4 linked regions of the Saccharomyces cerevisiae S288C genome follow. The gene in region 1 interacts genetically with each later gene. Each region holds a gene or a part of one and is shown in the gene's direction. Other genes may lie near its edges.

Evidence for each region.
Region 2: mutations in YPT52 (region 1) and ENV9 together harm fitness more than expected from each alone (negative genetic interaction), as found in Saccharomyces cerevisiae (2 studies listed by BioGRID).
Region 3: mutations in YPT52 (region 1) and DCR2 together harm fitness more than expected from each alone (negative genetic interaction), as found in Saccharomyces cerevisiae (2 studies listed by BioGRID).
Region 4: mutations in YPT52 (region 1) and CDC50 together harm fitness more than expected from each alone (negative genetic interaction), as found in Saccharomyces cerevisiae (2 studies listed by BioGRID).

What each region holds. Positions count from the first base shown.
Region 1 is NC_001143.9:463,797-468,467, reverse strand, and holds YPT52 (Rab family GTPase YPT52), read left to right. Parts: upstream 1-2,396; coding exon 2,397-3,101; downstream 3,102-4,671. Other genes in the region: YKR015C (uncharacterized protein), read left to right, coding at 1-1,507; PRY2 (sterol-binding protein), read right to left, coding at 3,520-4,509. UniProt on the Saccharomyces cerevisiae protein: Required for transport in the endocytic pathway and for correct sorting of the vacuolar hydrolases suggesting a possible intersection of the endocytic with the vacuolar sorting pathway.
Region 2 is NC_001147.6:794,391-798,403, reverse strand, and holds ENV9 (Env9p), read left to right. Parts: upstream 1-1,610; coding exon 1,611-2,603; downstream 2,604-4,013. Other genes in the region: SRL1 (Srl1p), read right to left, coding at 96-728; DGA1 (diacylglycerol O-acyltransferase), read left to right, coding at 3,072-4,013.
Region 3 is NC_001144.5:846,888-851,750, reverse strand, and holds DCR2 (phosphoprotein phosphatase), read left to right. Parts: upstream 1-2,626; coding exon 2,627-4,363; downstream 4,364-4,863. Other genes in the region: mitogen-activated protein kinase kinase kinase STE11, read right to left, coding at 1-1,885; YLR361C-A (uncharacterized protein), read left to right, coding at 2,072-2,368; VPS38 (Vps38p), read right to left, coding at 4,329-4,863. UniProt on the Saccharomyces cerevisiae protein: Required for cell cycle progression. Has a role in the completion of START.
Region 4 is NC_001135.5:285,016-290,176, forward strand, and holds CDC50 (aminophospholipid translocase regulatory protein CDC50), read left to right. Parts: upstream 1-1,746; coding exon 1,747-2,922; downstream 2,923-5,161. Other genes in the region: CCR4-NOT core subunit CDC39, read left to right, coding at 1-1,428; OCA4 (Oca4p), read right to left, coding at 3,155-4,243; YCR095W-A (uncharacterized protein), read left to right, coding at 4,624-4,782.

The sequences.
Region 1 (4,671 bases):
CAGATTTTATACTATGGTTATTTCTTTAAGACAGATTATGGAAATTGGGCCCTTAGTCAGGCGTAGCCCTGCTGTTTTAGTTGTGGAATTCGATTGTCCGGTAGAGGATTGCCTAGATGAACTGGATCCGTTGCATCCATTGAACAGGGCCTTTATATTTATTCATAAACAATGGACCTATTATCATCAATATTATATAGTTGAAAAGGTAAAAAAGGTGATTCTTGATATGGCCCCGGTAAAGGAAGATGATTGGAGCATCCTTCACAAGGTTGTTTATTCAGAAGGTTTTGTCGAAAGACGATATAAAAAGAAGAAATACCTCGGTGATATTTACATTCCACAACCATTAATGAAAAGCAATAAAATCACTACTATCTCAAATTTTTCCCAACTTACCAAAATTTCCAACGTCAGAGTTTACAGATTCAACGCTACAGCAGCGTGTGATCCGCAGAACTTGAACAAAAAAAACTTGAGTATCAAAGAGCTTAAAGATAAAGACCTTCCTAATCTTATTTGGACTTTAGAACCAGAAAAATTCTATGTTGACATGAGACCTTACAAGGAACACGAGGAAAGGAAAAAACGGAGAGAAGAAGAAGCCAAGGTGAGGATGCAAGGTGAGGAACAGGAGAACATTATGATAGAGAGAAAAAAAATGGATAGTATTGAAGTTGAAGCGTCATCAGGATTGAAAAATATCATAAAAACACCTCTCGCTAATAGGGTTGTCAATACTTTTAATAACTGCGCTGCTGTGGTAATAGGCTATGTAACAGAAGTGGATAAAGTAAAGGATGACAATGAAGAGAAAAATAACGACAGACCTAAAATTGCGAACGACGGAATAGCTCAAAAGTCTAGAAGCGAAAGTGAAGATAATGCAGGAACACCGATGGAAAACGCGTACTTTCAACCTGAACCCCAAGATAATGACCAAAACAACATATCTTGGAATACCACTATGAAAGATATTGATCCAATTTACATGAGTGAAAGATGTGCTAGAGTTTGGAGAAAGGAGCAACAAATGCTAGGATTGGAGAAGGCTCAGACATTTGAGAAAAAATATTGTAAAGATCAGATGGTTATGGACGAAAATCAGGTCGAAGAACCTGGTAAGCACTCGGAGAGACATACAAAAAATCAGGTAGTTAGACCTAGGACCAAAATAGCATCTTCCGCCAGTAAAAATGATAATAGTAATAATAAAAATAGTAAATCATGCAAAAATTGCCATAAAGAGGAAGCGCACGGTCTAGTGAGAGAATACCTTAAGATTAAACTCAACATATCACCTCATGGAGAAAGGAATCAGCGAACAAAGGACAAGAGAAAATGTATAATGAAATACAATGCGAGCAGTAACAACATCAACAAAATGCCTGGGGAGAGTGAAGTACTTGGGTCAACTATTTTAACAGATATCCACTTTAAGGATGTCGTAACTGTGAAATTTAGGGATTTTAAAGCCAAATTTAGAAAAGTCAAAATAAACGCTTGATTTGCCAAAAATGCTATAGTCGCATCTAGAAATCATTACCAAAACGTGACGATTAACATAATACATTCAAAAATAAGATAGGATGCATTACATTTCATTATACCGTGGATTGGAACTGAAGATGAAAATTGCAGTAAATAGACAATAATCAGGCCTTATGGTTGTATGTCATATGTATACTCAAGATTTGAACTTTATATCACCTTTATTAGCGCATTAGCGCACATTTTAGGCCCCATTTCGAGGAATGTGGATTTTTGGCAAATCAATGTTTCTAGGTGTCTCTTAGCTTTCTATATAAGGAGTAAGGTATGCTTCTTGATGACATCAACCGTTTACTATACTTTTTTTAGATATTTTGTTTTCTGCGATAAGTATGATGGAAAGTAAACTGGTAATAACGTCAATACGTACTCTCTTGTAATTGTAGTGAAGCACAGTAATTAATATTTAAGCGTTCCCATGTTCAAATGTGTGAAAGGTAGGTAAAATCATTATGTTAAATTTTGAAATCCACATGACCTTGAATTAAATAGGCACATCACGATTGTAAAGGAATGAAATCAATCTGACTCCAAATTACTCAATGTTCTTAACACTATGTGTATCATTGAGACCAAACGGCAACTTCATAGTGTCTTGCTTTCGTGGACAGCGACTACTATTCTGGCCGGACAATTCAGGTTTATAAAGCTCTGCCCCTGCGATATGAAGTTACAATGTTAACATACGGGAGTGAAGGGAACAGGCCCGTTTACCAACTGTCAGTATTAATTATTTGTTAAGTCGCTTCGATATCGAGCTCTGGACATATCTAAATTTTTTTTTATAGTGCGAGGGTAGGAAGAAGGTTTAACTTATTTGGAGTAAACGTATATATTATTAACAGATGTTGCAATTTAAACTAGTTTTATTGGGTGACTCATCCGTGGGTAAATCTTCCATTGTTCATCGTTTTGTTAAGGATACATTCGATGAACTACGTGAAAGTACGATTGGTGCTGCTTTTTTATCTCAATCAATCACTATTCACCCAAACGATGGTAATGAAACAAAGGATGTCGTTATAAAATTTGAAATCTGGGATACTGCTGGTCAAGAAAGATACAAGTCATTGGCACCAATGTATTATAGAAACGCTAATGCAGCATTAGTTGTTTATGACATTACGCAGGAAGATTCACTACAAAAGGCAAGGAACTGGGTTGATGAGCTGAAAAATAAGGTAGGCGACGACGACTTGGTTATTTATTTACTGGGAAACAAAGTGGATTTATGTCAAGAAACGCCTAGCACTGAGACAAGCCCAGATTCAAACGAAGGTGGAGATGAAGAACAAAAAGTAAGAGCAATTAGCACTGAAGAAGCGAAACAGTACGCACAAGAACAAGGGTTGCTGTTCCGAGAAGTTAGTGCTAAGACAGGTGAAGGGGTTAAGGAAATTTTTCAAGATATTGGTGAAAAATTATACGATTTAAAGAAAGACGAAATTCTCTCTAAGCAAAATAGACAAATCGGTGGAGGCAATAACGGACAAGTAGACATTAATTTGCAAAGGCCATCCACAAATGATCCAACATCTTGTTGCAGTTGATATCCTATGATTTGTGTTTTAGAGGAAAAACAACAGAAGTTGCTTTAATTAAACTGCTACTTTCCGATAATAAAGCAGTATATACGTAATAATGTAAAAAAAAAAAGAAAAGGGAAGAGTAACTTTATATATGATTGTACATATACAGTATACATGAATATATATATATATATTTATATATATATATATATATACGTAGCCGTCGGCAAGATCTCCCAATTTTTTTCGTTCACCCTATTTACCATGCATGAGACTATGACAATGTTATATGATCTTGCTTGCATTTAATTTGCGTACCCTAGAAAAGAAGAATCCTTAGTGTATAATAAAAATTGAAACTATAAAAGAGAAATGTAAGAGAAGGAACAGTGCCCATTGCTGTTCATGTCCATACCCATGTATTCGCTAAATTCAGTGATTAAGCTAATGGCATAACGTTGTCAGCAAACTCACCAATGACATTACCAGCGGCTTTGTAGGAACAAATGATGTAATCGCCCCATTCGCCACCGCAAGATTTCAAACCGCAACCAACTTCAGAAGTTCCCTTCCATACGACTTGGGTGAAGTGACCTGCGCTTTCACTAAAACCAGGGTTGGAATAGTCGTAGCTGGTAATTTCGTTATACCAGGCATCAACAGAGCCGGTCGTACCGTAACCAAGTGCCAAGTTTTCACCGTATGGACCGCCGGAGTGGACTAGGTTGCCTGAACAATCGTAGGAGTCAGCGTAGTTTTGTGCATATGTTGCTAGTGTGTCAGACCATGTCAAAGAACCGGTATCCTTGTGCAACGCCCTTTTAGTGTTGTGTTCGTTAACCATTGACGTTGAGAAATCGGAGCTTGAGGATTGAGTGCTTGAGGCGGTAGATTGAGTGGTGGTAGCGGTGGTTGGGCTAGCAGTAGTAGTTGGACTAGCGGTAGTAGTTGGGCTAGTGGTAGTGGTTGGGCTAGTGGTAGTGGTTGTTGGAGTAGTTGTGCTGGTAGGTTGTGTTGAAGATGTTAAAGTTGTGGTTACATCATCCTGTGTGGCACTTGCGGAGGTTTGCACCGCTTGTATGGTTGCAGTTGCTGTAGAAAATGCTTCAGATGTTTCTGTAGAGGATTCTTCAAATGTTGCAGATTCAGCCACGACAGCGCTTTCTTGGATAACGGAAGTAGCTATGCTGTCCACTTGAGCATTAGCAACCACAATAGGAGCTGATGTTGTGGCAACGGGACTAGCAGAAGCCGTTTGAGTGCCCTTGGTAATGAACGTCGTTAGAGTCTGGCCATTTTCTACACGAACTATACCTTGTACCACTACAGTGGCAGCTTGGTGGACATGTTGCGTGACAGTCACAGCAACTGGGGCAGATAAAGCGACAGATGCAGATGCGGCCAGTAGTGAGACTTTAGAAAATTTCATCTTTGTAAGTTTTATTAAAGGAATGGTATTGTTTTATGATGGGCTGTTTCGAGGAACGATGATACCAAGAGCCAACAGATCCATCACAGCAATATGTAACACTCTGCGACAAGCATATATATATACAAAGATCAAAAGCATTGCCTTTGAACGACGTCTATG
Region 2 (4,013 bases), on another chromosome or scaffold:
GTAGCAGAAGGATAGAGTTACAGAAGGTGAAATTGTCAATACAGATACAAAAAAGAAACAAAAAGAACTTAAAAGGACACGTTTGAACTCATAATTCACCAACTGGTCGAATTAGTAATCGAAGTGGTGTTGTACCATTGTACGTTACCTGGAGAGGTAGTGGTAACAGAAGGTGCACCGGTGACAGTAACGTATTGTGTAGTCGTATTTGGGGTGACTGTAACGTACTGGGTAACGGGCTCATTGGTGACAGTGACAAACTTTGTGATTGGGACGCAACCATTGGAAGTTGAAGCCTGTTCAAAGGACTTGACCTTTGCATCTTTGTTGTTTGAATCTTCGTCACTGACACTTGCTGCAGTAGATGATGGAGACAAAGTAGTGGAGTCATGAAGGGTTAGCAGCAAAGTGGACGTGATAGTCGAGGTGGAGGTAATTTCATGGGTGGATTCTGGGGTTACAGATCCAGAGGCCGAAGAGGTGGACAAGGAGGAGGAGGCCGCATTGGTAATGGTGGCTGAAGTTGAGGTGAACCAGCTCGTGGAGTAGACCGTTGAGGTGACAAAAAAGGTAGTGGTGTCGTCGGCGTACGATATGGTAGTCTCTTGGGGCACCAAGGAGTAGCTGGGCGCTAAAGTGGTAGTTGTAGAAACAGTATTGTTTGAATAAATCGCTGACACAGAACTTGCGAAGGTTAAAAGAGCGAAAAAGACAACGGATTGAAGCATTTTTTTATTTTTGGTTGATAAAGAACGACTAAGGTGAGAGTGAAAGTGATGTGATTTTTAATTATGTAGTGTAATTGAAACAATAAAAAAAAAACAAGGGAATGGACGAGACCTATTAATGGGTACTATGGCTCAAATAGCAAAAAAAATTTGTAAAATGGGTAAAAAAATGAGAGAAATACGCGAGAAACCTCTTGGTTGGATGTTGTGCTAAACTAGTTGCTTAAACGCTTGCAAAACTTTTTTATAGATAAAATATGCCAAGTGAAAAGAAAAGGAAGCAGAAGAGAAAAACTTAGAAAGGTAGAGGTAAGAAAGAATAAACCAAAATGTAAGCTAGGTGAGGGAAATATTTTGGAGCTTAAATATCTCGAACGACACTCACTCTCGTCAGAAAAATCTGTCGAGTAACTCAGACCACCTCCGATAGCATACCTTGTTTAGTTTCATAATCGGCAGAGACGTCATTCCTGCACAGAACGCCAAAATTCGTGGCCCCCGCGGTACCTGAATCAGGGCCAAGAATTTTGGCGTTTCGTGTTGTTGACATATTCCGAAAAAGGTATTGAGCCACAGGTCTTTCGCGTCTTCTAAGCCCCAAGATAAAGAAAATGCCGCCCTGCTTAATCACTGTTTTTTTTTGGAAAACCCTGAAGTATAGAAGTAGGGCATTGAAAGAAAAGATATGCGGGTAAGATATGAAAAAATTGAGGAAATGAGACCCAAGTGTACATGGGTATATATAAACAAATCATTATGGTGCATGATGCATCACTTACAATGCACACACACTATTGTCTTTGTAGAAACGGGGAAGACAATGGTTGTAGGCCTGATTGGTATTAGAGGCATCCGCAGTACGAGACATACGCCAAAGGCAGAATGTTAGACCCACGAATATTGCCATACTACGACCCGGCTGTGGAGAGGAAGATTGCTGTAGTAACAGGCGGAAATACGGGTATTGGGTGGTATACTGTCTTGCATTTGTATTTGCATGGGTTTGTCGTTTATATTTGTGGGAGAAACTCTCACAAGATTTCGAAAGCAATCCAGGAGATACTGGCAGAAGCAAAGAAGAGGTGCCATGAAGATGACGACGGTTCAAGCCCAGGCGCGGGCCCAGGTCCAAGCATTCAGCGTCTAGGGTCACTGCACTATATCCATTTGGATTTGACAGACTTAAAATGTGTGGAGAGAGCGGCACTTAAAATTCTCAAGCTGGAAGACCACATAGACGTGCTTGTTAACAATGCAGGGATTATGGCGGTGCCCTTAGAAATGACGAAGGACGGATTTGAAGTGCAATTGCAGACTAACTACATTTCGCACTTCATCTTCACGATGAGATTATTGCCTTTACTGCGCCATTGTCGTGGCAGGATCATTTCCCTGTCCTCGATAGGCCATCATCTAGAGTTCATGTACTGGAAACTGAGCAAGACGTGGGATTACAAACCTAATATGCTTTTCACATGGTTTAGGTACGCGATGAGTAAAACCGCGCTAATCCAATGCACGAAGATGTTGGCCATCAAATACCCTGACGTTCTTTGTCTCTCCGTTCATCCGGGTCTGGTGATGAACACAAACTTATTCAGTTATTGGACAAGGTTACCCATCGTCGGTATTTTCTTTTGGCTGTTGTTCCAGGTCGTAGGGTTCTTTTTCGGCGTATCGAACGAACAAGGTTCACTAGCTTCTTTGAAGTGTGCATTGGACCCGAATTTATCTGTCGAAAAAGATAACGGGAAGTACTTCACCACGGGGGGTAAAGAATCTAAATCGAGCTACGTTTCTAACAATGTCGACGAAGCGGCATCGACTTGGATCTGGACCGTTCATCAACTAAGAGACCGTGGTTTCGATATATAACAAGACGGAAAGATTGAAAGAGTAGATAGATGTACATTTTATTTAAATATTAGTTAGTCGTTATTGTAACTGGTAATCAGAGCAAGAAGTTTTTCTGTACTTTGTTCTCTGCAGGCAACTAAGTTACGGGCCGACAAAGGCTTATGATGTGCGTTTTTTATTCAATTGATAGATTCAGTCAGCATTGACGTAATGGGAAGGCTAGAAAAAGAGAAGACTGAATTTGGAAACTTATTCCTCAAAGCAGACCAGTACTTCCACCGCATTTCTGTACTTAACCAAGCACGACAGTGGTCTATCAGGCTTGGATCTTTCACTACACTTCCGCCAAAGTTTTTTTTTTTTCCTGTTTATCCCAGATCACGTTTGTTCCATTAAGGAGGTTTACTATCATCTCATTTCCATTTACACATACACTTACATATACATAAGGAAACGCAGAGGCATACAGTTTGAACAGTCACATAAATGTCAGGAACATTCAATGATATAAGAAGAAGGAAGAAGGAAGAAGGAAGCCCTACAGCCGGTATTACCGAAAGGCATGAGAATAAGTCTTTGTCAAGCATCGATAAAAGAGAACAGACTCTCAAACCACAACTAGAGTCATGCTGTCCATTGGCGACCCCTTTTGAAAGAAGGTTACAAACTCTGGCTGTAGCATGGCACACTTCTTCATTTGTACTCTTCTCCATATTTACGTTATTTGCAATCTCGACACCAGCACTGTGGGTTCTTGCTATTCCATATATGATTTATTTTTTTTTCGATAGGTCTCCTGCAACTGGCGAAGTGGTAAATCGATACTCTCTTCGATTTCGTTCATTGCCCATTTGGAAGTGGTATTGTGATTATTTCCCTATAAGTTTGATTAAAACTGTCAATTTAAAACCAACTTTTACGCTTTCAAAAAATAAGAGAGTTAACGAAAAAAATTACAAGATTAGATTGTGGCCAACTAAGTATTCCATTAATCTCAAAAGCAACTCTACTATTGACTATCGCAACCAGGAATGTACAGGGCCAACGTACTTATTTGGTTACCATCCACACGGCATAGGAGCACTTGGTGCGTTTGGAGCGTTTGCAACAGAAGGTTGTAACTATTCCAAGATTTTCCCAGGTATTCCTATTTCTCTGATGACACTGGTCACACAATTTCATATCCCATTGTATAGAGACTACTTATTGGCGTTAGGTATTTCTTCAGTATCTCGGAAAAACGCTTTAAGGACTCTAAGCAAAAATCAGTCGATCTGCATTGTTGTTGGTGGCGCTAGGGAATCTTTATTAAGTTCAACAAATGGTACACAACTGATTTTAAACAAAAGAAAGGGTTTTATTAAACTGGCCATTCAAACGGGGAATATTAACCTAGTGCCTGTGTTTGCATTTGGAGAGGTGGACTGT
Region 3 (4,863 bases), on another chromosome or scaffold:
CCACCTCTGGTGACATCCAGAATACGGAACCTTGCAAAGAAGCTCTCTTATTTTGTTTTTTATTCAAAGGTGATAATTTTTTTGAAATACCAAAATCAGTAATTTTTACGCAACCTTTGATATCAATCAAAATATTTGCACCCTTGATATCTCTGTGAATAATGTTCTTCTTATGCAAATACGCAACCCCAATCAGTATTTGCCTAGTGAAATTAGTAATCAGTGATTCCTCAAATGGACCGTAATTATTCAGCATGGAGGAAACCGAACCCCCAGGAACGTATTCAAGAAAAATATTTAAATTTCCGCCTTCTTGAGAAGCACCATAATAAGTAACAATGTTCTCATGATGTAACTCCTTCAATAAATTCATTTCATGCTGTAAAGCATCAACCATCTTTCTGTGAATATTTTGATTGGTTTTTGGATGACTTACCGCCCCAACATCTTCTATTTTCTCTTGTTGTTCCTCCTGCTCATTATTCTCATCAGAATTGGCTTGTTTATTGTTGTCTGTGGGAACACCAATGTTATTATTTTTTATCTCCACTTGCTTTACTGCCATTAGTTCACCAGTGTGAGCATTCATGCCCAAGTAAACACTCCCAAAACTGCCTGATCCAATGCAAGCACCTTTTAACCAATTCTTGGGCGTGGCAATTTTCGTCGGTAATGAAACAATGTCACTGTCCTCCCCAAAGAAATCGTGATCTTCTTCTTCACCAGACTCTACACTTAATAGTTCTAACTGGTTAGATATGGCATCATTATCTTCTGGCCTTTTATGGGCAAGCTTCGGAATTTTAGTTGTGTCAAGTTTACTGCTTAATCTTGTCTGATCTAATCCTTGTAATAGGGCCATATCAACAGCGTTTGAGTGTTTCAATAGTATGTCACCGATATTATTTGATTCTGCACTTAAAGGTCTTCTTTGAGCAATGCTTAGCCTTGCTGAATGGCGAAATGACTCTCTCATCGTCTTTTGCAACCGCTTCATGTCTGTATGAGGAAAATATCCGGCCAAATTGGTAGAAATAAATTCGCTAGGAGGCCTCTGATTAAAAATCTGTCTAATTCTGTCCTTTTCTGTGTTGTCGATCCGGAGTTTCCCTTCAGCATTGTTATGCGAAATCCCCTTGTTCTGTGCCAACAAATTTGACGAGGATGGCCCAACCTGGCTCAATGCACTCAACGTTCTTAGATATAGTTTTTTGGATGTGGATATAGCTTTATCACTTGGTGTTTGGTCTTTGGAAACAAAAATTAGCCTATTTTTCTCAACACGATCATTTGCGTGGCAAATAGTGACTAATTCCACGTCATATAGCAAATGCAGTACGTTCTTGGTATAATCTAAGACAAACACATCATAATCTTGGACCATTTTAGTTACTTCTCCATTGGAGTTTGTGGCTAATAATTCATGTGGCAATCTTCTGATTAGCCTTTTCTTAATAGAATCTGCATTAAAGCAACCATTTACATTAACTTTCTTAGCGGAACCATCGTTTAAGATAAATATAACACAGTGCTTTTCAGGAATCAATTCTGAATTCATCGATAGCGTAGCAGTGGATAGAGAGCTTACTTTTTCCATCAGGTTTTTCAATCTATTCACCTGTTCAATCCGTTTATCTCTCTGGAACGATTTTGACTTCCTTAAAATTTTGAGTCTGTCTCCTATTTTGTTTACACCCAAAGCAATGAGGATATCCTTGTCGAGATACTTAATTTCTTCTTCTGTGACAAGGTTGCACTGAATAAAGCTATCCAGGTATTGAGTGCATCCTATTTCCTCCAGAAATAACTGCACAAAAGGTAAATCGTTGGTCTTTTCGTCACCAATTAGTAAGTCAGTGCCCTCTGCTGTTTGTGTCTGTTCCATGTATATTTCGTCTACCGGTGATCTTATCATACTAGCTTTATTAAGTGGTCTCTCTTTATGCATGTGTGTAAATATGAATATTTTCTACTGTTTAAAGCCATCGCGGCGAAAGCTTTACACCTTAAAAGGCTTTTAATGCTAGCCTGATAACGAAAGGCATGGTGAGGACAGCATAAAGAAACTATAATGGCAGTTAGTAATAATAATAATAATAATAATAGTAAAGAACGCACCCAAAATATAAAAGAAGTGGAGGAAAAGTTGGGCGAGAATCCAAAGATTACTTTAAAAGGGGGAGGGAAAACTAAAATCATGGATTTTGAACAGTTACGCAAGCCCCATTGCGTAAGACCCAGTGCAAGATTTCCAGTTGAAGATACTGCCGGTGGTTTATTGAGAACGGGTGGCCACAGGCCTCAGATAAGTGATGAAGAAGTCTCTAAAAGGCACCATGAACAGTCTCATGGACAAGAAGATCATTAATAGTATTGTATATAGGACTTGCTCAGTTATATTTCATTTCTATTTCATAAGCTAGAAGGCTAACTTGTATAAAGCTGCGCAGAAAGTGTTTCCATTTTACGTATATTTAGATTTATATTTTGCCTTAGGTGCTTTTTGAATTTCAAATGGTTTAGTGTTGATCTTTTTCAAAAATTAATCTTTTTAGATCGCAGATACCTCTGATACAAGTTTTATACTTAAGTATCGAAGACCAGCACCGTGGTTAAAAATCTTAACATGATCCGGTTACCGAGGCTGTATCAAAGGTACCTATTATACTTGGTAGTTTTTGTAGTGATTGCCCTATTTTACTTCCTACAGGCGCCAAGAGTTGAAGAGCACATTGGTTTCGACCTTGCACTCCCGATATCACACGTTGATAATCTATGGTTCCAAAATAAAGGTCTAGAGGGATTCTCAAATGACGATAAGCTAGTTGTAAATATAGGCTATGACGAATGTTTTCATATTGGTCGTTTTTATGAAGGATGTTTTAATCGGCATGAACTTAAATCAACTTTAACTGATGGGCACCAATACTTACAAAGGAAAAGAATTCATAAAGACTTGAGAGGTTCCTTTGGACGCAGGTGGTTTGGAAAGTCAGAATACCTTTACTATGATGTGTTATACCCTGCTTTGGTGGACTACTTTGGATCCAACCTAGAAAAGCTAAATGTTGAGGCAGTAACTGGAATTTCCAAATATCCTAAAGACAAATCGCTACCCTTTATGGATGTATCCATCACATTCGAGCCTATTAGCATAGAACTATTGCAGAAAAGGAGCTACATAAGCGATATTAACATTCTCTTTGGTGTTGATTGCATCCAGCCGATAGCAAATTGGACTCTTCAAAAAGAATTTCCCTTAGTAAAATACCGCTACAGCGAACCTGCTTATTTGACTTACAAATTCGTTGGTACTCGTCCTGTAGACACAGGAGCTCAACGGCTGCAAGAAACTGATGAAGGAAAGTTCAAAATTGTTCAGTTGGCGGATCTCCACTTGGGTGTGGGGGAGTCTGAATGTATCGATGAGTATCCAAAGCATGAAGCTTGCAAGGCAGATCCAAAAACGGAAACTTTCGTTCAACAAGTTCTTGACATTGAAAAACCGCAGTTGGTTGTTTTTACTGGTGACCAAATCATGGGTGATAGATCTATTCAAGACTCTGAAACCGTATTATTAAAGGCGGTAGCACCCGTCATTGCAAGAAAAATTCCGTGGGCAATGGTATGGGGAAATCACGACGACGAGGGAAGCTTAACGCGCTGGCAGTTATCCGAAATAGCTTCAGTACTACCATATTCCCTTTTCAAGTTTAGTCCCCATGATACACACGATAATACGTTTGGCGTTGGTAATTATATTTATCAGATTTTTTCGAACAATGATACAGAAGTCCCAGTAGGTACACTTTATTTTCTGGACTCACATAAATATTCTACGGTTGGTAAAATTTATCCTGGATATGATTGGATTAAGGAATCACAGTGGAAATACATTGAAGATTATCATGATGTGAACTTGAAGTTCAAAACAGGTCTTTCAATGGCATTTTTTCACATCCCACTGCCAGAATACTTGAATATTGAATCCAAGACACATCCCGGAGAGAAAAATCCCCTCATTGGAATGTACAAAGAAGGTGTTACTGCACCTAAGTATAATTCTGAGGGGATAACAACTTTGGATAGGTTAAGTGTGGATGTCGTCAGTTGCGGACATGACCATTGTAACGATTACTGTCTTCGAGATGACTCTACGCCGAACAAAATCTGGCTATGCTATGGCGGTGGAGGTGGAGAAGGTGGTTATGCTGGCTATGGAGGTACAGAAAGACGTATCCGTATTTATGAAATTAATGTAAATGAGAACAATATACACACATGGAAAAGATTAAATGGCAGTCCAAAAGAGATTTTTGATTTTCAGTCTATGTTGGACGGTAATTCTCCAGAATCTGTTTAAATTGCAATATATCAGCATTAAAATAATGTATGGCTTTAATCAGCTTTGCTTGATGCTTAGAAATCATTTGATCAGTGAAATACAACGGATATTGACTGTCGATCACTGATGTACTACCATAATACATTAGTCTATAGGGTAAAGGAGCCTTGAAAATTTGGATGGCTGTCAAATGGAGAAATAAAAGGTAATAACCCAACTGGCTGTTTACATATTCTCTGTGCTTTGTGGATTCGCCGGCTTGTCTAAGTAATATCTCTATATTCAAAGGTTTTAGCTTGAGCCTATTAATAACATCATTTACGCTAGAAGGTTTTTCAAAGTAAATATAGCCTCTATCTGAATTAAATAAATCCGTTGAATGGAAGATCCCTATCAGCTGATACAGTTTCTTAAACCTCAGTTGGTCCAACCTATCTTTTATTTGCACAAATCTAGAATATATGCTTCCATAGTCATCATTTATAGACTCGTCCTGCGACATCAGAGACAGTTCTGTT
Region 4 (5,161 bases), on another chromosome or scaffold:
GATGAGGTTTTCATCGCTATTGATGCTCTAGGATCGCTAATTATAAAATTGTTGATTTTACAGGGTTTCAAAGATGATACAAGAAGAGATTACATAAATGCAATATTTTCTGTGATCGTTTTAGTGTTTGCTAAGGATCATAGCCAAGAGGGTACCACATTCAATGAACGACCATATTTCAGACTATTTTCTAACATCTTATACGAATGGGCTACCATCAGGACGCACAATTTTGTTAGAATATCTGATTCCAGCACTAGGCAGGAGCTGATCGAATTTGATTCTGTATTTTACAACACTTTCTCAGGATATTTGCACGCTCTGCAACCATTTGCCTTCCCTGGATTCTCATTTGCATGGGTGACACTATTATCACACAGAATGTTATTACCAATTATGCTAAGATTACCCAATAAAATAGGTTGGGAAAAGTTAATGCTTTTGATTATCGATTTGTTTAAATTTTTGGACCAATACACAAGTAAACATGCAGTCTCTGACGCTGTTTCGGTTGTTTATAAGGGAACACTGCGTGTTATTTTAGGCATTTCGAATGATATGCCATCCTTTTTGATTGAAAATCACTATGAATTAATGAACAATCTACCTCCAACATATTTCCAACTAAAGAATGTTATTTTATCTGCTATTCCTAAGAATATGACCGTTCCCAACCCATATGACGTGGATCTTAATATGGAGGATATTCCAGCATGTAAAGAACTACCTGAAGTCTTCTTTGATCCTGTAATTGATTTACACTCATTGAAAAAGCCAGTTGACAACTACCTACGTATTCCCTCAAATTCATTATTAAGAACAATACTAAGCGCTATTTACAAGGATACCTATGACATAAAAAAGGGCGTAGGCTACGACTTTTTATCTGTTGATAGTAAATTAATTCGCGCTATTGTATTACATGTGGGCATTGAAGCTGGAATAGAGTATAAGAGAACTTCTTCAAATGCGGTATTTAATACGAAGTCTTCTTATTATACTTTATTGTTCAATCTGATTCAAAATGGTAGCATCGAAATGAAATATCAAATTATTCTGTCTATTGTGGAACAATTGCGGTATCCAAACATCCACACCTATTGGTTCAGCTTTGTGTTAATGAATATGTTCAAAAGTGACGAATGGAATGATCAAAAACTTGAAGTCCAAGAAATTATTTTAAGAAACTTTTTAAAAAGAATTATTGTTAACAAACCACATACCTGGGGTGTTTCAGTTTTCTTTACTCAGTTGATAAACAATAACGATATTAATCTTTTAGACCTGCCCTTTGTACAAAGTGTTCCCGAAATTAAACTAATTTTACAACAATTAGTAAAATATTCCAAAAAATACACAACCAGTGAACAAGATGACCAATCCGCCACCATCAATAGAAGGCAAACCCCTCTACAATCCAACGCATAAAAAAACTGCATTTATTTATATACGAAAATCATGATTTCAGAAAAAAAAATATAACTTGTATAATACTATATTTCAGAGAATACTATTTTGAATAAGAATAGAAGCAATTTCGATTAACTTTTCTTACTGTATATGGGTCGCTTTCACTTTTGAACTACTGAAAATTAGTGTTACCCGTATTATTGTTTTGGAGAATAATAATAATAATGAGCATCAATTTATATCAAACAAGAGCTGCAATTACCTTATGTCCATGACGCACTGCGAACAAAGAATAATTGAGTAATCGAACTTGAAGTTCTATAGAACAGCTTGTATATGGTTTCATTGTTCAAAAGAGGTAAGGCTCCACCGCTCACGAAAGAAGGCCCCACTTCTAAAAAGCCTCCTAACACAGCGTTTAGACAACAAAGGCTTAAGGCATGGCAACCAATACTGTCTCCTCAAAGTGTGCTTCCGTTGTTAATATTCGTTGCATGTATATTTACTCCTATTGGTATTGGACTCATTGTAAGCGCTACTAAGGTACAAGATCTAACAATTGATTATAGTCATTGTGATACAAAAGCATCTACAACTGCTTTTGAAGATATACCAAAGAAGTACATTAAATATCACTTTAAAAGTAAAGTTGAAAATAAACCACAATGGAGGCTAACCGAAAATGAAAATGGCGAACAATCATGCGAACTGCAGTTCGAAATCCCAAACGATATCAAGAAATCCATTTTTATATATTATAAAATAACCAATTTTTATCAAAATCATCGCAGATATGTCCAATCGTTTGACACAAAGCAAATATTAGGGGAGCCTATCAAAAAAGATGATCTGGATACAAGCTGTAGTCCAATAAGAAGTAGGGAAGACAAAATAATATATCCCTGTGGGTTGATCGCTAATTCCATGTTTAATGATACATTTTCTCAGGTGTTGAGTGGTATAGATGACACAGAAGACTATAATTTAACTAACAAGCATATATCATGGAGTATTGATCGTCACAGATTTAAAACCACCAAGTATAATGCTAGCGATATTGTTCCACCGCCAAACTGGATGAAGAAGTATCCCGATGGGTATACAGATGAAAATCTTCCTGATATCCATACTTGGGAAGAGTTCCAGGTATGGATGAGGACTGCAGCCTTTCCCAAGTTTTACAAGTTGACGTTGAAAAATGAATCTGCTTCTTTACCGAAGGGTAAATATCAAATGAACATTGAGTTGAATTATCCGATTTCACTCTTTGGTGGCACAAAATCATTTGTACTGACTACAAATGGAGCTATTGGTGGTAGAAATATGTCACTAGGCGTACTGTACCTCATCGTTGCAGGGCTTTGCGCCTTATTTGGCATCATTTTTTTGGTTAAATTAATCTTCCAACCAAGAGCGATGGGTGATCACACTTATTTGAATTTTGATGATGAAGAAAACGAGGATTATGAGGATGTACACGCAGAGAATACAACATTGAGGGAAATTTTATAGAGGCCAAAAAACAAACTTTAGTGCCTGTAGGTATTTGTGTTTATAAGTAAACAAGTTTTGTTGACTTCCTGAAACGTAAACAAAAGAAAAATTGAAGTATGCCTTTTTACGCTTGGAAAATAGTGCGACAAAGAACTCCCAGGGTTTGCTATTCCCATTTAGATGATGAAATGATAGAAAAGTGGAAAACGTTTATCATGAAATCATCTATACATATACGTAAAAATGTAAACTATGTAAAAATATGTTCCCTATAAAAGTGATGCTCTTCCGGAACGTTTTCTTTTTCCCACAAATCTCGTTGAAACCTGAACCAATCTGGTAATTCAGAATCACAGGGTATCCTTATTTTGACGTTATCTTTTCCCCTTGCTTTATAATAGCCATAATCTCCATTTTCTTTTTTATTAAATGCTAATCTATACCTATGGCCAAAAATTCCTAGGTCAGAAGAGGTTTTCTTCAAATCGTCTCCTAGAACTCCACTTACTTGTAATACTTTATTATTTTTCACTTTGGTTTCGATTTGATTTATTAATGTCAAAAGCCGCTGAGGCACTTCTGGCTCTCTGCAAAGGTCATCTTCATTTACTCTAATAAGTTTGCCAGAATTGGCCTTATACTCTATCGAATGCGTCCTATTATTCTCAAGGGGCAATTTTTTTGCTTTGTTGTCCACAATTGTCTTATTATCCTTCTCCTGTTCTATCTCAATGTTAATTATTTCTAGAAATGTTTCCGCAAAATAATTTCTATTCTTACCAGAAAATAATCTGTACTCATTTATGATTGATGCAATATTCCATTTCTGAATTTTTCGAAGTATACCAATGACCAACGCGGTCTTATCTACCAATAAAACATTATAATTATCCACATTCAATAATGTTTTGAAAGTTCTTTTTAAACACGTGCTCTTAATCAGCATTAAGTCATCATTGTCAGTCAAGTGGTAAGCCAATTCCTCCTGAATTACAGGATCCCCTGTAGTAGAATTTTGTGACCCATTTGCAGTGGATTTTTTCTTTTCTTCCTGTAATGATAGAGTACTGTTATTATTCGAATATAAATTTGCGTTAGATACAGAAGAGCTTTTTACCGGAACTGCCGCAGCCGAGAAATCAGACATCCTTAAAACAATCCATTTTATGGATGATCTTGTGAAAAAATCTTTGAAAAACTTGGATGGTTCTTGACCTCCAATAAATATAGCTGTCTTTAAATTGAGAGTTTCCAGAAAGGATAAATTTAATGTCTCCACTTTAGAACATCTATATATTCCTTCTTCAGCAATCCCAAAGTTAGCAGGTGGAACCAGCATTATGAATTCAGGTTATGGATCGCACCAGTGCTGTAAGTGTCTCTCTTTTTATTCTACGATCTCCATATAACAACCACATCTCATTTCTTTACCTTACTGTCCATTTAATGCTAGAAAACTTCCGAATATTGTATTATTATTACCCGGATATGTCAAGGCGGTATATTAAGATGTTCCTTTCAAAAGTTTCATTATACCGCATACGGTAAGGACAGCCATAAGTAGTTTTACTGATAAAATATGGGGCTAAAGAACTGTATATTTATGGATAGCACTAAAAGTAAAGATTTTCCCCGTGTCCTGACTTGGAGAAACAAAATTTCATTGTCATAAAAAACTTTTAAAATATGATATTCAAAGCTTGAGCATTGGGCTTCTGGATGACAGTTCTAATCAAGTTGGGTCTAAGGATATTGCATGTATACAAAGGATTCTTTCGGAAAGTAATCCTGAAATATTTTTTTTTTTCGTCTGAACATACGAAAGTAAATAAAAAAAGTTCAATGCATGCCTTCCTATGCAAGATTTATAAAAGGTGAACAGGTCAGGAGCAGCCACATCTCAATAAAGGCAGTTAAAGACGGTGATGTAGGTGCAGAAAGAGAAAGTGAACAAAGGATGATTTGAGATGTGTAATGATTCGTTTGAGCAGCAACAACTGCTAAGATATTCATACTAATAGGCCACTTCACACATTATGCCTTGGAGAATATCCTGCATTGCTCCTTTTATAGTATAGTCTATTCAGCACTAACAAGCAAAGCGAACATAATGGTAAAACTAACTTCAACTGTTGCTGGTGTCGCCTGCATCGCTGGCCCTCCCCTCCACTACGGCCATTTTAGCACAACTTGAATGAGTCAACTTGGTTGAGTTGCATGTTAACGTCTCTGATATCAGAGCTCACTTGCTCAATAA